Kluyveromyces lactis: one gene and its partner. The protein of the gene in region 1 purifies or fractionates together with the protein of each later gene. This does not show direct contact. Links are inferred from orthologs where the notes say so. Each region holds a gene or a part of one and is shown in the gene's direction. Other genes may lie near its edges. The genes, in order: IMP21 and KLLA0_E15555g.

Region 1 (10,775 bases):
CTTTCAACACAAATTTGGTGTCTCCTCTTCTGGGAACTTCTTTGATCCAAATTTGATTTTCATTCAGGATGCAGAAAGATTAAAACATTTCTTTAGACATTCCTCACTATTTTCTCAATCGCACATTCTACAACTATGTGGGTTTGGTGACCCGAAGAACCCATTCGCAATGCTATTCGAGCTCTCAAAACACCTAAAATCTCGTAAAGAACGTAAAGAACGAAAAAAATCAACCAAGAGCACTTCGGAAGGTTCTTTAGATCCAGTAGAGTTTTCTTCGCAGCAACAAGCTTCGACAGAAGACTTTTTCAGCACAATTGACTCTCCAAAAGTTCCGTACGAGTTTCCACTAGATTTAGGTGTCTGGAAGCGGTCTCTTCATTACATCAATGTAACCTCAATGAAGTGTGGCATGATTGTTTTGAGACGGTTTTTATATGGTCCCATTGTCACTGCTCTTCCCCATGTTCTACCTTGGTTACTTTTCATAATTTCTATTCAAATAAGACTTGATCAGGTCAATGATTTGACATTAAAGAAATTTTGGATTGTGTTCATTAGGAGAATATTTCCTTGGGATTCTCTGATTACATTTATGAATACACTAATTCATTACTGCATGGTTACGGGTACCAAAAATTTTGATATTGATGCACATATGTCGACTTACTTGCCAATGAACAGAGAGGAGTTATTAACAAGCATTTGTGAAAATGAAAATCTACCAGAATGCTGGAGCTGTTGGGGTTCTTTATGGTTCAACACCATCAGTAAAAAATCTGACCTCGATGTCACCACCTTAGAAAGTACAGGTCTATCAGATACTCTGTTTTTGGATTCCCCAACTGAAGGTATTTGTTTCGATGATGATGACGAATTTGGACGTAAATATTGGCAAAGAATATGCCGAACTCTGTTACTATTCAACATCATTACTGAGTGGGAAGCTTGTGATGGATATGGTCATGGTTGTAAAAAGTTGAATCCAGAAGCAACAAGCTGGAAGAATTTAGTGTTTAGATTTAATGATGACACTAACGATCAATTATCAGTAGAACTCTATCCAGAAGAGAATGAGAGTTTCCCATTTGAAAAATTTGAAATTATATCCAATTTAAACTGCAGTGACAACTTACAGGACGGCTCCAAATCGATGATTCCTGGTGTATCTATCGAGAATTTGCAAGGATTCAAATTAATGTATCCGGACTACTTCTGTTTCAATAAAAATGGTGATTTGATAACAGCTTCCTTATATACCAAAGGCCCATTAGAAACTGCGAATATTCAAGGTGGTGATGACTTTAATGCAAACAAAATTCTAGATAACGGCAGGCTCGTAGTGCAAGATAGGTTGGAATATTCATCTGCCATCGATAAACTCGAGCAACCATGGTTGGAGGCCTTCATGAACCCGGATTTTAGACAGAGAGAATTACTCAATAGAAGTTTTTTGGGGAATTTGAATTGTCAAGCTGACACCAATGTGACATTCTTTGTGCTAGATGCAACCACTTGGTTGAGGCATTTTGCTCATATTTACAAGCTGGCCACAAGTAGTGTTTTGAAATTTGCCATATGTTTGACTACCTTCCAAGAATTGAGATTTCTCCGTAAATCAAAAGATGAAAGTGTGCTCGAAGCTGCAACTAGAGCAGTGATTGCTGTTAGGCAGCTATATTACGAGCGTAAACTACTTGCCCTAAGATTTACGGGTAATGTAGCAGGGCATCTTGAAGAGCACTTGGAGATCGAAGAGCAGATGACGTGGAAATCCCATGTTGACGAGTTTGTCATTGATGCCATAGCCAAAGCACAAGATAAGTTTAATGTTTTAAACAATGATGCAATAGAAAAAGGTAAGGACTGCATACCTCTATCTGAAGATGGACAAAGTACTCAGAGATTTAATTTTGTCAGTCTAGTTACCGATGACTTTAATATGAGAAATAAGGCTCAGCAGTTAGGGATACGCACTTTCAGCACAAGATTTGTATTCGCAATATGTAGAGAACTTGGGCGAGAAACTGGTGTATGTACTAATTAAACTAGTTTTAAGTAAAGCAACAACCTATCGACATTTCCTTTTGGTGGTATCGTCTTCTGCTAAAAAAGTGTGACTTTTCGAATAGCTTTTACATATTTTTACCCTAATTTCCAGTTTAAACACCAAAACACGCCTCGATATAATGAAAAAAAAGAAACATCATGGCAGAGCACATGATGCACATTCGACGAACAGAGCCCCTGCAATATGACAGTGCTGAATTTTGGATGATCGGTCTTTAACAAGGTTAGTTTGTCATTAAGCTTGTGATGCTGTCGTACTACCAACCTAAGCCAATCGGCATCTGAGTGATGTTCTTTCATTAGCCTTATCTTTGTGGAAGAATCAAAAACAATTGCTTGAACTGTTCTAGGTGAATGTGAGATATCGTTCGAGAAATCTGCTTTAGGGATAATGCTAGCAGCCATTGGAGCAGTATATGTTTTCTGCCTTTTAGAGGCTCTAGCCCGGACGACAGATTTTGAAGTTTGAATTAATTTGTTAATAGATCCTTTACCGCCGATATTGGATGCGTTGCATTTCTTGTGTGCATAGAGCAATTTTCTCTTTTTGCCAAACCATGCGTCCACCAACTCAGACACCTCTCCTATTTTCGTCCTTCCTTTGGTATCTGTCATTGTGAGTGAAATCTTTGGTGGGTGTCAGAAAATATGTCGGTGATGTCTGAAACTTCATGCCTATGATGCGTGACTTTACCCTTTTGTTTAGACTCTATTTTTTGTCCTTGTTTTTTCTTTCCTTTACTTTTCATTTTCGACAATTGGGAACCTCAGGAAAAATAAGGATCCAATGGTTTGATAATCGGTACGGCAAAGGGTGGGGCAATTTTTTATATAATCAATCATGATCACGTGATCATACTTAGGGTCCAAAACTAACTGAAGATCCTAATATTCGGTTTTGGTTTTTGTATTTTGGTGAGGTAATCGAGAACGATTGCCAAACCACAAGCTAATACGCGTCCTAAGCCATTTAATGTGTCAACCGAAAAAGTACCCGCCAATGCCGGAGCAGAGAGAATTCACAGAGCGCTGTTAGTTTCTACGGCCGCGAAGTACTGGGTGAAGAAATAAATCTGGGGTATACAAAAAAAGAAAATTAAAAAATTGGGTTGCCGGTATGATCCGATCGCCTGAGCATTGTCTATTACGGAATATAGTAAAACTGGACAGATAGAGGGACAAGCAGGTAATGTACCAAGAGAAGACTCTCGGACATGCTCATCTCAACCCCGGGAAGGGAAAGGTTACAACCGATAAAATTACCTAAGTACGTATGGATGGTATTAACAAGCTTCTTTGTCCCTCTTCCAGAAATGTCCTTTTATTTGAGTTTGTAGATGAGCCCGGGCTTCGGAGTCCAATGACACTGAAACGCTCGAAGAAACCACTTAATCTTGATTATATAATCATTATACGCCACCAACTCCGTTCCATTCTCTTTCCCCGGTCCACCATATACGGCTGTACACTAGCATGTCGATTCCCCACGCGATCGACCGGGGAACCCGAAATCAATGAAGAACGTAGAAAGTAAAATGAAAATCGAAAAAAATAAAGCTACGAAGGTTTGCAGGAAGTGAGCAGATGCCCGGGAATATCACCCGTACATCACATTTCAATATCAACCCGGGAAGTAAATTTTGTTTTTTTCCAGTATCCTCTTGCCCCACACGCTATCTACCCAGAGGCATCCCGGGAGCGGAGCGGTACAACAAATTGCCAAAATTTGTCCCCCTTCTCCTACTTACATCCTGTGAACCAAAAGAACAACAGGGGGGAAAGGAAAAATTTTCGAGTGCCAGACATGAACTTGGCTGGCAAGGTTTTTCCTTTCACACCACACTCAATGTTGAAACGTACATCTTTCGGAACTATTTTTCGAGCAATTGGGCGTTATTCCCAACAATCCAAGTACTGGTCTGTACATCCCGGTCTTATTGAATACAAAAAAATTTAGAGAAAGTGCCGTATAGACTGAAAAGTCCCCAATTTTTTTTGTTCTTGCCTTGTGTGTTAATTAGTTTTAATCAAATTCCACGCTGGGACAAACAACGGAACGGACAAACGAAAAACATAAAACATAGACATTCAGGACATTTCAGGACATTTTATTTTGAAACGAACAGACACATAGATAGATATCAAAGAAAACGTAGTTATATCGATACCGAACCAAGGGAGAAAGGGACTCTTGTTTACTGAAATCGCCTAGAATGAGTCAGATAACTCGCTGGAACATCAATTATCCATCTAGTAATTAAGTGCAATTATTTATTCTCGTCCTGTCATATCGTGAATTGATTAATATTCATCTTTTATGATCATATATAAGGGCGATGGTTTTTCATGATTTAGTTTGATGGATACATTTCAAGTGTTGATAAGGTACAATAGTAGCTATATATTATCTCAGTTGTATTGCAATAAAAGTAAACCCAAAATTCAGTGATTCTACACATTGAAAGCACTTTAATAGTAAAGCCAAAATTCATACTATACGATAAATTGACTCTTCTCCATTTAAGAATACTCAATTAACCGTGTTATCGACTTTTCCTCTAGCGCGACTAAAAAGAAAGAAAATAAAACCTATTATCAAATAATGTCACCAACTAAGACACAAAATTCTGCTGAAGAGAATATTAGGGCTGAGCTTGGCCTTTCTGCAGAAGTCGTCACCATCAGACGTAATGCTCCAGCTGCTTTGTTATATGAAGATGCTTTAAAAGAAAGAGACACAGCCATTTCCAATGCTGGTGCCTTGATTGCCTACTCTGGTGATAAGACCGGAAGATCTCCACGTGATAAGCGTATCGTTGAAGAAGAAACTTCAAAGGATAACGTTTGGTGGGGTCCAGTAAATAAGCCATGTTCCGAAAGAACTTGGGAAATTAACAGAGAAAGAGCTGCTGATTACTTGAGAACTAGGGATCACATTTACATTGTTGATGCTTATGCTGGCTGGGATCCTCGTTACAGAATCAAGGTCAGAGTGGTTTGTGCTAGAGCTTACCATGCCTTATTCATGACGAACATGTTGATCAGACCATCAAAGGAAGAACTAGAAAATTTCGGTGAACCTGACTTCACCGTCTGGAATGCTGGTCAATTCCCTGCTAACACACATACCTCCGGTATGACTTCTAAGACTACTGTGGAAATTAACTTCAAGCAAATGGAAATGGTCATCTTGGGTACCGAATACGCTGGTGAAATGAAGAAGGGTATTTTCACTGTGATGTTCTACTTGATGCCTGTAAATCACAATGTCCTCACCTTACATTCTAGTGCCAACCAAGGTATTCAAGATAATGACGTTACTTTGTTCTTCGGTTTGAGTGGTACTGGTAAGACTACCTTGTCCGCTGATCCTCATAGACTGTTGATCGGTGACGATGAACACTGTTGGTCCGATCATGGTGTTTTCAACATTGAAGGTGGCTGTTACGCTAAGTGTTTGGGATTGTCTGCCGAGAAGGAACCAGAAATTTTCAACGCTATCAAGTTCGGTTCTGTTTTGGAAAACATCATTTACGATCCTAACACTAGAGAAGTTGATTACGAAGATTCTACAATCACAGAAAACACTAGATGCGCTTACCCAATCGAATACATCCCAAGTGCTAAAATCCCATGTCTAGCTGATCACCATCCAAAGAACATTGTCCTGTTGACTTGTGACGCTTCAGGTGTTTTGCCTCCAGTATCCAAGTTGACCCCTGACCAAGTTATGTACCACTTCATCTCTGGTTACACTTCCAAGATGGCTGGTACTGAACAAGGTGTCACTGAACCAGAAGCAACTTTCTCCTCTTGTTTCGGTCAACCATTCTTGTCTCTACATCCAATGAAATATGCTACAATGTTGGCTGAAAAGATGGCCGAACATAACGCTAACGCTTGGTTAATCAACACTGGTTGGACTGGTTCCTCTTACGTTGCTGGTGGTAAGCGTTGTCCTTTGAAGTACACCAGAGCTATCCTAGATGCCATCCACGATGGCTCTTTGGCTAAGGAAGAGTATGAAGTTTTGCCAATCTTCAACTTGCAAATTCCAAAGGCTGTGGGTGACAAGGTTCCAGCTTCTCTACTAAATCCAAGTAAGAACTGGGCTGAAGGTGAAGCTAAGTACACTTCAAATGTCAAGTCATTGGCTAATTTGTTTGTAGAAAACTTCAAGACCTACCAAGATAAGGCTACCGAACAAGTCTTAGCTGCTGGTCCGCAATTATAATCACAATGTCCTCAACAGAAGTGCTATACCAAAATAACGAAAAGAGGCAGAGTGAAATATTATTGAGTAATATTTTCTCTTCAACATAGTTTCACTTTTTCCGTTACCTTCAACCAGACTATCTCAACCGTAGCCGGTTCATTATTATTAATATAAAATTCTGAGATTCATAAAAAACCAACTAACAATAATACACATACCATTGGCTCGGATTATTTGATTCTTGCATTTAGAAACTATCTTTTTCTCGACTACATATATAACAAGAAAATTCTACAGATATCTTGGGGTTTTTCTCATTCGTTTTTCTATTACTTTCGTCCTTTTTAATTTATCACTAACAGCCTTTATCAATATGGTTATAGTACATACATACGCTTTAGTATCTTTTAATCTGGATATACTATTTATTTATGGGAGGAATTAAATCATTAATATCATCCTTAAGCGAAGAATAAAAGCAGGTTAAATAGATCTTTAATCTCATCCCATATATGCTGTGTTAACGTCTGTGTATAAACCTAGATGTGCTTGTACTCAAAGGTGGAGGCATTTTCGTAGTAGCATTGTTTGCAGTCAAAAAATCAGCATCGTCGTTATTTTCTGCAGGCTGATATATTGGCAAAGAGTGATTGTTACCATAACTCGTCCATGGGAAAAATGCGGTTCCGAACCAAAAGTGCTGCACGACTGGAAACTTATTTAAAACTTCTACCTTGTACATTTTAATCAAACCCTGTTGCATCTTGTGCCATGTATGAACACTCCTTGATATGTTGTAGAGTAGAGGAGAATGATTGGAAAATGGGCCCGATTTTACGACATTAATGAATCGTATTGATTTGCAAAATAGATTGCTAGAGCTGTTTTGTTCCATCAATCTAGTATTAGAAATATCCTTTGGTATTAAAGAAGTATTCACATCTAACAATTGAGTGGCTCCTAAAATGTATGAGAAATGAAAATGATCATCTAGCCCCCAAACGCCATGAGACCCAGCAGGTTCCAATTTATAGGTTAAGATTAGTTTCTGAATCACGTCGTAATATGAATTGAAACAATAAAGTAGCGCCGGCCCCTTTATTGTTTCAATTTTTAGCATATCCAAACAAATTATCACAGCTAAAAAGGACAATTCATGACCAGTTCCATAGTCAATTCTTTCCTTCGATCCAAATGCATTAGATATGTAATATGAAAGTTCTATGATGCTGTTGTTGTACTTTTCGGGCAATAACTCATGCAACCAATTCTCCAATTGGTTTTGAAACTTCGTTTGCCAATCTCTGTATGAAAGGTTTCCATATCTACTATGCATTCTCTCAGGAGGTGTCTCGTCTATCAAGGCAGACAGCCTTTTGAGTAGTTCCACTACGATATTAGTGAAAAAACTTTCTTTGATTGTATCTGGTATCTGCTGGCCCTTACAAAGCGTAATATACTTCTGCAAGTGATATTGTATTCTAACCATTGCGACTGAATTCTGGAAGTCAAGGGTACCCTGACTATCGAATATTCTTTTCTCTGGCATTGAGAACTTGGCGTTCTCATAATCAAAGTCCATCTCTTAGTTTCTTATCCCTTATTTATCACCGTTATATCATAACAACTCTCGATTTAATATTTGCAGCTTGAAATATGTGCGGGAGAATAATTAGAATGCAATATTTGATACGTCCTACAAGGAAGGTATTAGTTTTCAAGATCGCCTCCCCAAAAGTTACAAGAGAAACTGCTATTTCATATCCTTTCTTAGCATTTCAGTCTGTAGAATTCTAACTTTTTTTAAGCGTTCGCAGTACAGGCACTGAAATTGTGAAGTGATATGAAAACATATGATAAAAATAAAAAGCCAAAATAACCTTGAAAAACGATTATACTGCTATGTTTTCACACCAGAGAAAAGATTCCTAATACAAGTCACCAGTCACACATTTACTTTCTTTATCCGCGACACTAGCTTGTACCTGTGAAATAATTTTAACTTTTTGTATCACAGCTAATACTATTCTACTGAATTCACAGGACGAATATTTAATCCAACATCATTGAAATAACTATCAACTTAGCTTCAATCTCCGGTCGCAGACAAAGTATACTACAAGTGAGCCATTGAACATATTTAGACATGGAAGAACCTGGAAGAGGTATTTTGAATAAGAAACTAACTGATGATAAGCATCTGGCTGCGCCTCCAGCGTTTCCAACTATAAAGATAGAGGAACCAGAGCAAAGAGGTAGGTCCCGGAGTAAGACAAGAGATACCGGCATATCATCAAGCAGATCGATATCAAGGTCTGCGAGTCGAGTAAGTATAAAGGACCAAGCCTACCTGAAGTGGACAATATTGAATAAGGACCCTTCAGAAAGGTTACATTTGAAGGCCAAAAAAGGAAACACTAGAGATAGCGTATCTCCAGGACAAGAAAATGGTGGTGACGAGGATGAAGATGAAGATGAAGAGGAATTCATAGAAGATAGAGAAGACGATGGTGAGGTCAGTGAGGAGGAACAAGTGAGTGATGTAGAGAATGAAATAGAAATTGATGAACACATTGATTATGATTTAGGTTGTAAAGTTTTACCGAACTTTGTTACACCAATTACCCAAGTACTCGACTCTATGAAGCCATGGCTAGCGAAGAATGCTGAGATTAAAACAGAAGCAGACAAAAGAGATATCAAATTGGAAGAAATTCAACACGGAATACATAGAGCTGTCTATCATATGAGCAAAGGAGACAATATTACCGCCGCAACGAGCGAGAAAGGCCACTCGTTCGTTGTTTACTTGGATCAAATGGATGAATCTTTTGCTGAGAAAATATACGCCTTAGTTTACTCTTTCGGTTCTGTTTTCACTAATGGGGACACTTTGTACATCATAAACCAATGTGACGACGATACCAACGATATGCTATTTCAAATGAATCGAATTTGCGATCACATAGATTATTTATTCGAATGCACCAATGGAGTTGGAACCTTGGACAAAATTGACGTCCTAATATGTTCAATGTACCATCCATATCCGAAACAATTACTCACTGAGATGGCACATTCCTTGCAGCCATCGTCGATTATTATTCCGTTGCAAACGGTGTTGGCATCATTACAAAATTTCATAACTTCAGTACCGATGCTTGTGATTCGGAAGAAATTGAAGAGATCAAAGCGTAGAGGGATAGCTGACTGATATGCACTACTTCAACAAGCATATAGCCGTTACTATACACACATATATAAACGTAAACTAAAACTTAATACACGTGATCAGTAAAAACGCCATTGTCAATATGAAACGAAATAACAAATGCTACTGCTGCTGAACGAAAAAATTAAGGCAAACATACAGGGTAATTAGGACGAAATTCGTTCATCTATTGACTGAAGAGAAGGAGCAGCAACATAACCAAAATTTGTGGGGAAAGCCAATAGCAGGATCCGAAGATTGTGAAAACACTAATTTAAAAAAAAAGGCATGGAGATGGAGACGAGACATTTACTTGTCCAATTTTCACCAAGTGTGTATCTCGGGAGATATCGGATGACATGCAGCAAGCTCGGATTAGCGCGCAAGAGTGAGTTATTGGCCGGGTAATGTCATATACCGTAGTCTTTCCTTTCATCAAGAATTTAAAGTTTGGTACCCCTCATTCACTTCAGCGTACTGAGAGATTTTCCTACTGTTTGTTTGCATGGGGTTCAATCGCTAAAAACATTCGATCCACTAAAATTGACGAGCTTGCAATAAATCAAGCTGGCAACTTTCTTTCATGAACACCTGGACGTACACACACATCTCTTCCTATCGTGGCTATTTTTCCTATTTTTGCCTTATACCACAAGGATATAAAAAACCATTATACAGAATCGAAACATTCAAGTATTCCCCTACGACTTGCCTATTACGCGGTACATAGTAAAAATATAGCCTACCAATCGCAAACTATACAACTGTATGCATTGCTTGGTGAAACTTAAACAAACACGCTGAGGTAAATCATTGCACCTTGAATGCATTTTCTTGTCTTTATGCTATAAGCAATAAATGAGAAATGCCCCAGTACCGCCCCTCCGAACTGTCCAAAATTGTTCCAGAGTTGTTCCGATACAGGAATAGCAGCACCGGAGATAATCCAAGCAGAGCATCTCTCCATACCATCGGGGAAGTAACTCTAGCCATCGGAGGTTACCATCAGTTACGGTAGATTCTCCAGTGCCTAAAATTTCTCCACAAAGAAAACCAAGCGCAAAACACAAAACCAGCGCAAAACAAAACCCATCAACCCCAGACAAAAACTTCCTCGAACAATCTCTGCTTTTTTTAAACTGAGCTTGCCTGTAATACGCGCGTGGAGGTATCAATGAAAGGGCTACCTACCTGATTCTGTGCGCCTGAAAGGAATCGATGGTTGAAGGAGCAATGGAAAATCACTAAATACCATACCACTTGCTACCTGGACTTGAA
Region 2 (11,330 bases), on another chromosome or scaffold:
ACTAATCGTCTTTTAGATTATCAAAATGTCAAATGATTATTCCATTTCGACCGAACTACCGCCTCTCCACTTGCTTACGTACTGTTTTTGGGTTCCCTCATCTAATAGCTTCCTCAATCGGCTAGAAGTGCCAGTACTGGTCTTCAGAAGTCCATAGAAAGCCTCACTGTTACCCGGGGGGTTTGCGCATCTGTCGCTCTTTCACTTTTTTTTTTTTTATTCACTTCCATTCCACATCTTTCAACCGTTAGTGGTCTGAACTTGTTTCATTTCTTTATTCATAATTTCTTTCTTTCGTCCAGGTTCTGCATTTATTATATATATATATATATATGTATATAAATAAAGTTTGTACATTGCTTGTTTCGATGATTTGCGGACTAGTTGTCTTATGTCTGTTGCTCGAGGAGACTACCACCAACCAAGAAATATAATACCATGTCAGTGTGTCAAACGAATCCTTTGAACACTCTTGTTTCGAAGTCTGGTTATAGGTTCGGACAGCCGAATCAGCACCAACAGAGCATCGCACAGCAGCAGAGCAGACCAAGAAATAATGCACTAGACCACCAGTTCTCTCAGTTTACTGGTGCCTCGGGTCCCAGTTTCGCTCATCCACAGCATCAACAGCTGCCTATGGCAGCTGTTGTTGCTAACGCTACTACTGCAGCCAGTACTACTAGTAATACTGCTACAGCCTCTGATCACCATGTTTGGATCGATCAGTTCGCAAACATGCAGGTGCACGACAAGACCGAGTTCCCAACAGATTATAAACAGATGTATTCGCAGTACGAGGCGCGTGGCGCCTCGTACTCCATGGGTGCACCGGTGATGGTGTCCCATTCACAAATGTTCCCGCGTCATCAGCAATCTCTGATGGTGAACCAACTCGAGTCACAAGCGTATGCCAGTAGTAGCGCGAAGCTCGATGAACAATTTGCTGAACTGGAAAGACAAGTGCAAGACGATGAAAAAGAACAGCAACAGGACAAGGATGACGATTTCCATCTCAAAGAAACGTCTCCTCTAGACGAAGATCAACGCCAATTAAAAGAAGCAGCCCAATCCATTTACACAACTCTTTCAGATAAATCATCTACAACTAGTTCGAAATTTTCGAACTCCAAGTTCCTTGGACTCATGAGAAATATCAGCGATGGTGTAATAACTCTGAAAAAGAACCCAGATGAGGATAAATATACGGAATTATATTCTCCTTCTACCGGTGAAACTTTTGGCGAAGAGTATTTCCCAGTGCAGGATAGTGTTTTAGGCGACCCCTTGGACTCCATTGGTGACTTATCTAATATGAGTTCATCGGAAGCCGCTGCAAAAGTGTACCATAACTCCGTTTGAAAAAAAAAAAATAAAATGGTATTACTAAGTATGAGTGGAGGGGTATTTCTCTGTTGTCAGATCTACTGTTATTTTGTCGATACATATTGAGTTAGAGTTACTCTACACTCACGTGGAAAATCACCTGGCAGGATCACCATATTCTACTTACTTCCCAATATTAGATTAACTTAGCTAAAGCTTAGTTCCAAAAATAATCTTATTTAATGACTATAATGATACATTTCAATCTCTTTTGCTTGAGTTGATGATTCTGCCTTTCTTGTGCCGTAATCTTCCATATTGGTAGCAAGACCAGTCGCTATCGTGCCTATAGACCCATCAGCATCTTCTTCCTCTGTTGCTAGTAACCCAAGCCCGTTTTTAAACTCATTTACTAAGGACCAAATCGCACTTCCCGCATTGTCGTCACCTTTTGGCTTGCCCTCTGATTGATTTTCAGTTGCACTGGATCCCGAGTCGCCTAATCCTAACTTCGTTTCAACGGTCCCCTGAATAATTTGGTCAAATTGGTTGAGTAATGAAACGGATTTTGTCCATAACGAGCTTGATTTGTTATCAGCGGTTTCTGCGTTGTTACTTTCCCCATGGGATTCTGCAGGTAATGTCGTATTAGAGTTCTGACCTTGAACTTGATTCCCCACTAAACGGCTAACTTTTTTCTTCAACTGCTGAAGTTCTTCTGCATTCTGTTTTATTATCTTATCTTCAATCTTAATTTGCCTGAAAAGATCGTGAACTCGCCTTGTCCTTTCCAATATCTCTAGTTCCTTGTTCGCCAGTGATTGCAACAAAGATTCCATATCATTATCATCTTCAGAAACAGATGGCACTACTTTGGCGGTGTCGGTCGTAGTTGTAGGCAACTTCAATTTAGTAGCTGGACTTGCGCTAAATTCTGTGGTGGCTCCATCCGGGAGAAGTGATCCAATGCTACTTATGCTGGACCGCACAGATTTTTGTCCGTCATTTCGGTCAAGTTTTGATCGATATTTCCGTCCCAGCGGGGTATTCGATACAGACTCTGATGGTTTGCAATGCTGCTGATATGATTGACGTTGCTGCTGCTTAACTGTGTGCTCTGGAGACATTAATGGCATTATTAAAGACTTTCTTTTCCATGTGTTGCTTCTTCGTATTCCTAGCTCCTGATTGCCTCCCTTGCCATTTGTAGCAGCAGAAACCCCGTTACCATTGTTCTTTACGGTGACTTTACCGGACCCCAATGATACATCGTCCTCGTTCTCCTTCATATTGCCAGTGATATCGTCTTGATCTGAATTATCACCTTTCAACGGATGCGAGTCAAGTGTGCTAGTAGGATCAGCCTTGGTAGGCGTTAATTGCAACTGGATGTTCTTGTTTCTACCGGAACTCCCCACAGACTTGGGACTCATACCGCTGGATCCTTGGTTAAATGTAGGGGTAACGCTCCCTCTGTCCGTAACTTCATGATATATTTTACTCTTAGTATCAATATCGTTCTCTTTGTCTTGAAGGTCTATAAATTTCTCCAATACGTCTCTATCCATTGTTTATACCCAAACCGTACACATAAAGATCTAATTTGATTCAAGCCTAGCTTCTTACTACGGTCAGATCAGCCTTTTTACCCTTATCCTTAACTTGTACACTAAAATCAAGCCCCAAAGTTACTGATTGAAATGATAATTTCAGTCTTTCACAGAATTTCGTGTTGTTATGAAAATGAAACAGTGTAAACTTGAAGTTACCAGAAATAGTTCAGACGGCTGCAACTTTTTGCAGTGCGTAACAGCTTGAGGTTCCCAGCAGTGGCTTTATTACACCAGTTAGTGGAATCAAATACTTTGCATATCACATATCTGATTTATCACTTGCTAAGGAACTGGTATTGCGTATTTAGACGGTTACAAACACAAGAATGGCTCCATTCAAATTTGGAAAGAAACAGAAGAATCGGAAAGATGCTTCTGCATCTCCAAATACAACACCTAATTCTAACAGCACTATTGGTAACACTAGCTTTCAACAAGAATTGAGATCTCCTGGATCTAGTTCTACACCTACCAAACAGAACTATCCAAAACCAGCTGCAGATTCTGGGTTACTTGCGGCTCAACAACGCGTTATGGTCAGTCCTGTTGAGCAACGATCTACGTCCACTCAGAGTACCCTACAGCAGCAGGTGTTCACGCCATGGAATAGAATTAGACTAAAGCAGTCCCCTTTCCCCAGATATAGGCATGTTGCCAGCTCATATGCTACTGACAGTGGAGAATTGTTTGTAATCGGAGGTTTGCACGACCAATCGGTTTATGGAGATACATGGATAATCAAGTCACTGGACAACGCTACAAGTTTCAAGTCTATTACAGTTCCCATTGCAGATGCTACTCCACCTCCTAGAGTCGGTCATGCCTCCACACTGTGTGGGAACGCATTCGTGATTTTTGGTGGTGACACTCATAAAGTGAATGATGCCGGTTTGATGGACGATGACATATATTTGTTCAATATCAACTCTCACAAATGGACCATACCAACACCTCAAGGACCTAGACCACTTGGTAGATACGGTCACAAAATCAGTATAATTGCTGCGAACCAAATGAAAACCAAACTTTATGTGTTTGGTGGTCAGTTTGATGATACCTATTTTAATGATTTAGCAGAGTTTGACCTCTCATCTTTCCGGAGATCTGATTCTCACTGGGAATTTATTAAACCGGCAACTTTCATGCCACCACCCTTGGCTAACCACACGATGATCTCGTTTGATCATAAGTTGTGGGTATTTGGTGGTGATACTCCTCAAGGTTTAACTAACGAAGTCTTTATGTTTGATCCAGCTGCCAATGATTGGTGTGTAGTGCAGACTACAGGAAACATCCCACCGCCATTACAAGAGCATGCTGCTATCATATACCGCGATTTAATGTGTGTTTTTGGTGGGAAGGATGCGCAGGACAATTATTCAAACGCCGTGTATTTCTTAAACTTCAGGAGTCTAAAATGGTTCAAACTACCAACTTTTAATAATATGATTCCAAGAGCAAGATCCGGACACTCTCTCACTCTGTTATCAAATAATAAACTGCTAATCATGGGTGGTGACAAGTTTGATTATGCTGTTGGTAACAGCACCGATGTACGCACTTCTGATGTCGACATGGGAGCCGGTACCATTATTTACACTTTGGACCTAACAAACTTGAATGAGTTTTGTCCTGACATCTTTAAGATCGATGATGTTGATCACCTGGACAAATTTAGTACGCCATTATCGAAATCCAATGGAAGATTTGATGAATTGAAAAACAAACAAGCTTCAATTCTATCACCAGATGTACCAGAAACGGTGAACACAACTCCTGCAGTTAGAAAACGCTCTGAGTCCGGCGTCCTCGGACCTACTGCTCCTAAACCAAAATCACCAGTTCCACAACAAGATGCCAATACAGATCCTCCAAGAGTATTGTCCTTGCAGTCTCAGTTAAGTTCAGAGACGCAAAGTGACACTGATCCTGATGTTGGGTCTGTAGAAGTTGTTCAGTATAGAACTTCGCCGACAAAAGGTGATGTAAAAAAATACGCTGTTGGAACCAACTTGAGATCCTCATCGGACTATGAAAATTATTCACCATCTATCATGCATAACACAGGTGCTGAGCCTTCGCCTAAACCTAACTCCTTGTCAGATACGACGCACTTCGATAAATCCATAGATGTAATAACTGACGCTGATAAAAGCCCTGTCACTTTAAGTGAACCTGCTCGTATTGTTTCTGAAAAGAATGAAAACAACATTCTGAAAGAATTACTTGAAGAGTTGAAGCAATTGAAGGAGGATACTGTGACCAGTGCTACTAGTGCAAACAGCAGAATAATGGAATTGGAACTAGAAAATACAGAATTAAAGCAATTGAACCAATTAAGTCACTTGAATGACATGATTAAGCACCAAACAGAAGTAATTGCCAAGCTACAATCAGAAGTCGATAATAAGGAGAAATATGTGGATTTGGAATCAAAGTATATCGTATTATCTGAGAAATATGAGTCTCTCACGAAAGAACTCGATTCGAAGAAACAGTTCATCAATGAAAACATAAAAAAATGTAGTGAATCGTTGGACACTTTGCTCGATGGCATGAGACAGAAACAAAAAGCTCACGAAACAGTTGTAACCAGGCATAAAGAAACAATGACCGGTCTTGATCGCAAGTTAAGCGAAGTAATTCTTCAAAATAAAGAACTGACTACATCCAGGGACCAGTTGTTCACAGAATACTCCAAATTGAAGGATGAGCATGCCTCAAAACATGAAGAACTGACCAAGATGGAAAGAGAGTACAGGTCAGTTATTGACTCTGTTCACAATTCTGGGAATGCGATGGAAAAGCTGCAGAATGAAATTATCAAACTAAGACAAGAAAATTCAAGACTTAAATCGGATTTAGAGAATACGATTAACCAGGAAGCAGATGATTCGTCCGGTTCTTTGAATGATGCTCATTATCAATTAAAGATAAACGACCTTCGCGCAGAATTATTCATTATCAAACAGGAACGTGATTCGCTAAAAGACGATGTCATGACTCTCAAAAAGAAACTACTTCATTCTGAAGCAACACTATAGACTCTTAATAATATCAACCGTGTAAAATAGAATGTATTGTTTAGATATATATATTTTCAACTATTTTAATTTGTTTTATATTCATTACAAACAACTATTCACTGATACTCCGTGATATATATGTTTTATCTGCTATACTGTACATCAGTCGAAATTATGAAATGTCAATGCATGTTTTTGTCAATCGTGGGAACTGGATAAAATGACAGGTGGCGGACTACTTTGAGTTGTCATATGAATTTCGCTATCCAAAATGGAAGTCTGCAGAGTCTCACTCTGAAGAATGGAGCACTGAGATACTGGTGGCACTGCATCATCCGTCTCTAATATTGATCCTCTTGATATTTCTGTTTGAGCTGAAATGATTGAGGCCCGACTAGCTGGTACGGAAAACTTCGGCGGCAAATTCCAATATGGTATTCTGTGCTCTTTTACAGCTGGTTTCTTCGAATAAGAAGGCAACAAGGATGATGCGGGTCGCTTCTTCTCACAAGCTAAAATATCTGCTTCTTTTTCATTAAAGTTTGCCTTGTCCAGACGTATGACATCTGTGTTCCAGCCATAAAATTCGCGTAGGCTTGATGGAATCCTAAATCTCTCACAAAATTCAGTTACCGTTACGATATCATCCATGAGGCCCTTTATCACACGACAATTATGATTACTGATAGTTCATTCAATTATGAACGTTTTGGAAATTTATTTCGGCTTAAACGTGTGTTAGCCGCTGATAATCTGTCCAGTGAACTTAACCATGCCTGCTTTCTCCTATTGGTAAAACCATGACGGTACTTAATTCCGGGTAATAAAATTCTTCCTCAAAAAAAATACTCCGAACCACGTGATAGCCCCAAAAGAGGAAATGGTTGTATGAACAGCTTTTCAATTCTCAGCAATTCGGATGATTCTATTGAAATTAAAGCACTACGAGGTTTTTCTGTCGGGATTATTTTTCATTTCGAAGTAATCATTGTTGAACCCTTGAATTAAGTGCGAAATTATACACATGTAAAACAATATGACAAGGCAGTGACATTCTTGCGGTAAACGTACTTTGATTGTCTTTGGCTCAACAGCCAATGATTAGAACTTACTAGCAAAGATAACGTGAAAATGCTTTAGAACTGGTTTTTAGAAGAGAAACACGGGTTTCTTTTGTAAATGAACTCGGTTAATTCTTATTATCGAAAGCTGATGTCCAAAGTACGGTCTAGGGTCGTTCTTTGGCATGTACTATCTTCCTTTTTTTTTCTTTTTTTTTTTCCAAGTGTTCAATTTCTAAAGTCGGCTGAAGAAATATCGACTCAGGGAAAAGCTAGGATATGGAAGCAGACCATACAAAAATATCTAGAAATGATGAGTGTGGGTTTTTTTCTCTTGTGTTAAGCATGCGGAAGATTTTAGAATTTGGATCCCTTGTACAAAGCACTATTTGATATCTTGATGCAAGGTAAATTTATTTTCTCTATTTGTCTGAGTTAGGCTGAGCTTATTAGGGATAAGGTGCAGAGAAAGTATAAGAAGAGATTCATATCTAGCAAACATTTGGATAAGGTCGCCAATTGCTCACCGGAGTTCAGAAACCTGTTTTTTGGAATCCTACAATATAAAATTACAGTGTGTCTGTTAAACAAATTCATTGAATTTTTGACTTCAGAACCCCTACCTTTGGACTACCCATATTAAGATCACACGCTAAACCGAATTCTTTCCATCTAAGTGATGTATATTAAACATGTGTCTTTTCAGGATCTATCGCCGTCGTTGATAGACGATCAGGCACGGTCTTTGAAAGAATCCAATAAACCGATAACGTACAATAACCCGTTCATTCATGTTCCACCGCAGTTCAATCCATTATATAGTGATCCAAGTGTGCGAGAGGGTTCTCAGAGTGAGAGTGTTTCGAACGATAGTGGAGTGCACGATTTCAGCATGAAAAGGCCACAATTATCTACAGACCTGGGTTTCTGTTCTTCTCAACAAGACGTTGGACTAAGAAATATGCTAGGACCCACTTTATCGAATGACAATTCAGAGTATGGTTCTATGAATGGGCTCCGTAGAAGTAAGACCGGTATGTCTTCTGTCTCTAGTGCGAGTACCTCGTTGACCAGAGCTGCTACTTCGTCATCTGCTAAGTTACCACCTCCTCCAGCAGTGTCCATATTGAAGCGGGATTCACTTGATGATCTGCATCGTGAACATTCACCTGATGGGATTGACTTGACAGTAATTGATCCTCAAATGGAGAAAAGAATTGAAAAGGTAACCACGTCAAATACTCTGGAAAATGCAGGCAACAAATACGGATCGGGATACACTACGTCGGCATTTGCAAATTTAAACGAATTAGAGGATAAATTGATAAAGAAACAGGAGAAAAAAGCGGAACCAGAGAAAAGGAAGAAGTCTTACATGGATATGACAGATGAAGAATTAGCTCAGTTGGAAAAACAGCTTCGGTCTGGTGGGAGGGAAACCAATACAGATTTGAACAGTTTTGATTTCAGTCAACAGTATAAGCTATACATCGGAAACACCGTTGTTAAACCTTCTCCCAGTAGCAAGTCGTCCGGAGCTGGTGGAAAACCCTCTGATATGACATTAAATTATCCATCACGCCCATCAATAACACATAAGGCCATTTCAATTACAAAGGAACATACAGACTACAGGAAGCGTTATACGGATACGAATACTAGGACAGTTGTTTGTTTTTTGAACGGTAGGAGACATACTTGGGCAACTGTTGATTGGTTCATCAAAGAAGCTGCTAGAGATGGTGACCATTTGGTTGTTGCAACCAATCTACCAATGTATGAAGAGTTGATTAACATGTTGAAAAAGAATGAATCTTCCGAAACTGGAAGCACTAAAACAAAGTTGGAAGAATTCACGTTCGATGGTAAAATTAAAAACAAAACACCAAGTGCAGTTGTACAGTTACCATTCCGCCAAGTGGGTATGATAATCAACGAATTGGATCAACTTACAAGATATAAATGTGAAAATATGTTAAACTACTATGCAGCGAAATGTCAGGACAAGGTTATGAAAATAACTATAGAATTGGTGAAAGAACTGTCCGCAAAACCGCTTGTCACACATGTTATGGATCTTTACAGGCCAAATTTCCATGTTGTTTCCACAATTTCGACTAACTTAAGCATCAAGTTCAGGAATGGGAACGTTAAATTGCCCAATTTCCTTTATAGACATCTTTGGGTTCCTACTGTTATAATTCCCTTTGAGTTTATCGATCCATATCATCTTGGTGAAGCCAAGAAACCGATGCATAAGACTGTTTCGATTTCCACAAAAGATGATCAATTTGCATTCCTCGATAGATGTATCATCAAATCCCTGAACGATGTTTTGGGTACTAGCTCTAAGAATGACCACACACCTAGGGGCATTGAAGACGTTTATGAACATGGAAATGACGATATGGTTAGTATAGACAGTGAGGCAGATAAAGGAATTACAGACTATTTCCCCACGTCGCCCGAAGCGCAACGGAGGAAGCAACACATAGAAAGATTGGGATACGTTCCACCAGAGCCAACTAGGTTCAAGAATAACAGTTTTGGTCCAGTAGCTTCCAGAAACTCGACTATGAGTAGTAGACGGTCATCTAGAGTTTATTTTGCCGATGAGCCAGGAATGTATAAAGTGAAATCATTATTGGGAGGCGATGACGATTCTTCGAGCATAGTTAGAAGAGTCAAGAGCGAGAAACTGCCATCCGTCTCCAGCCCAAAACGGCCTTCTACATCATACTCGTATAGTGCAAAAGTACATCCGACCTCTACAACAAACGGGAAAGGAACAAATAGAAAATCCAATTCTGGACTGAAGACTGCTACAAGTGGAAAATCATCGATCTCATCAGCACACCAATTACATTCCGCTACAAATGGTTCAAGTGCAAGCGCTCAAACTCAAACCAAATCAAAATCAAAATCCAAGCTTGGTGGCATGTTCAGGAAAATGTTTGGCGTCAAGAGCAACGCTGCCTAACCAGAAATACAAACACAAACACTAAAAAAAAATTAATCACCTGTTGCGCCTTTTAACTCCATCTGCCTTGACAACATTCGAACCTTACTACTATTAATTACCAAGTCTACAAGCAGCAAGATGCAGACGGATAAAAAGATTGAATATCAACCAAAAATAACACGAGTAAATAGATACATATCGTCAGTATTTTTCAACATAGAAAAGACGCGGCCTCCATCCCATATTCGAACGTATCCAATCAAGAAATCGTAAGACCAGAAAAATGCAGCCCATAGCCTTTCTTGAAGAAAGGAAACATTTAGAAAGAAAGATTATTACTCTAAGATAAAATCCTTCTGGACACTGGTGAGTGCATGGACTCTGAACGTAAACACACGTTACTTATTCAATCTCACGTCACTATCTCCTTTTTGTGACTGGATTATCCCCATGTTTGGATGGAAAAGGGAAACATGATATGAGGTGTCTGGGTGGTGTCCTTGGTGATTATATAATAAACAAGGGTTGTGTGTTACCCGGTTTTGTTTCCAGTAGCAGAAACTGGGAGAAGGTAGCAAGAGAAGGATACGGAAACAAGTGCAACCGGTACTGGAAGCTGTGCTAAGGATTGTTTAATGTAATGGTAATTCCTGTTCCATCACAAATTTGATTTTGGTATCAAAGACATGGATTGTTATCTATTCCCCTGTTGGGGTATCCCTGATTCACCCCCTGATTTTATATAGTGTTATACAATGAATATTTGGAATATTTGGAGATCACATACAGATATATCTATATATAAGCACAAGCTCTTCTCTGATTCTTGTCCTTTTTCCAGTATATTTCCAGCCCGCAACATTCGATATTCGAACACAATAGTTTGACACCAACTAAACATCAAACTGTAAGCATATTGCAATGACTATCTTTTCAAATCTATTCGGAGCAAACCAACAACAGCAACAACAACAGGAGACTATGTCCAAGGACATGTCTCAGAACTTGCCTCAGACTATGTCACAAAACACAAATCAGACAGAAACAAGTGGTTTAACTAGACAAAAGACTAATGAGTCAGAGGAAGGTGACCATATTGATTTATTCGCAAACGTACGGGATATTCCCGTCGCTGCTTGGCATATTCGTGGTAGAAATAAGTACTACAACGATGAGGAATATAGGAAATTGGTAGAAGAAGCTAACACTATCATGTTTTCTAGTATAATGTGAAGAATATTAATTGTTCTTTTCGTTATACTTACCTAATGAAACCTCAACCAATGAATTTCTGGTAAACATTACCATCAGGTGTGATTGGTTATTGGTTATTTTTGCATATTCT

What was found.
Region 2: the proteins of IMP21 (region 1) and KLLA0_E15555g purify together in Saccharomyces cerevisiae (affinity purification with mass spectrometry; 3 studies listed by BioGRID). This does not show direct contact. The link is inferred for Kluyveromyces lactis from reciprocal best matches to the Saccharomyces cerevisiae genes IMP21 and YGR237C.

Annotation. Positions count from the first base shown.
Region 1 is NC_006037.1:35,859-46,633, reverse strand, and holds IMP21 (Imp21p), read left to right. Parts: upstream 1-8,432; coding exon 8,433-9,500; downstream 9,501-10,775. Other genes in the region: KLLA0_A00528g (uncharacterized protein), read left to right, coding at 1-2,047; KLLA0_A00506g (uncharacterized protein), read right to left, coding at 2,146-2,685; phosphoenolpyruvate carboxykinase PCK1, read left to right, coding at 4,673-6,304; peptidylprolyl isomerase RRD1, read right to left, coding at 6,807-7,868. UniProt on the Saccharomyces cerevisiae protein: Controls the nucleo-mitochondrial dependence of galactose, maltose and raffinose utilization. Becomes essential in the absence of functioning mitochondria.
Region 2 is NC_006041.1:1,385,364-1,396,693, forward strand, and holds KLLA0_E15555g (uncharacterized protein), read left to right. Parts: upstream 1-7,702; coding exon 7,703-10,003; downstream 10,004-11,330. Other genes in the region: PEX21 (Pex21p), read left to right, coding at 439-1,359; TDA11 (Tda11p), read right to left, coding at 1,563-2,891; KLLA0_E15511g (uncharacterized protein), read left to right, coding at 3,263-5,980; KLLA0_E15533g (uncharacterized protein), read right to left, coding at 6,161-6,613; KLLA0_E15577g (uncharacterized protein), read left to right, coding at 10,907-11,218.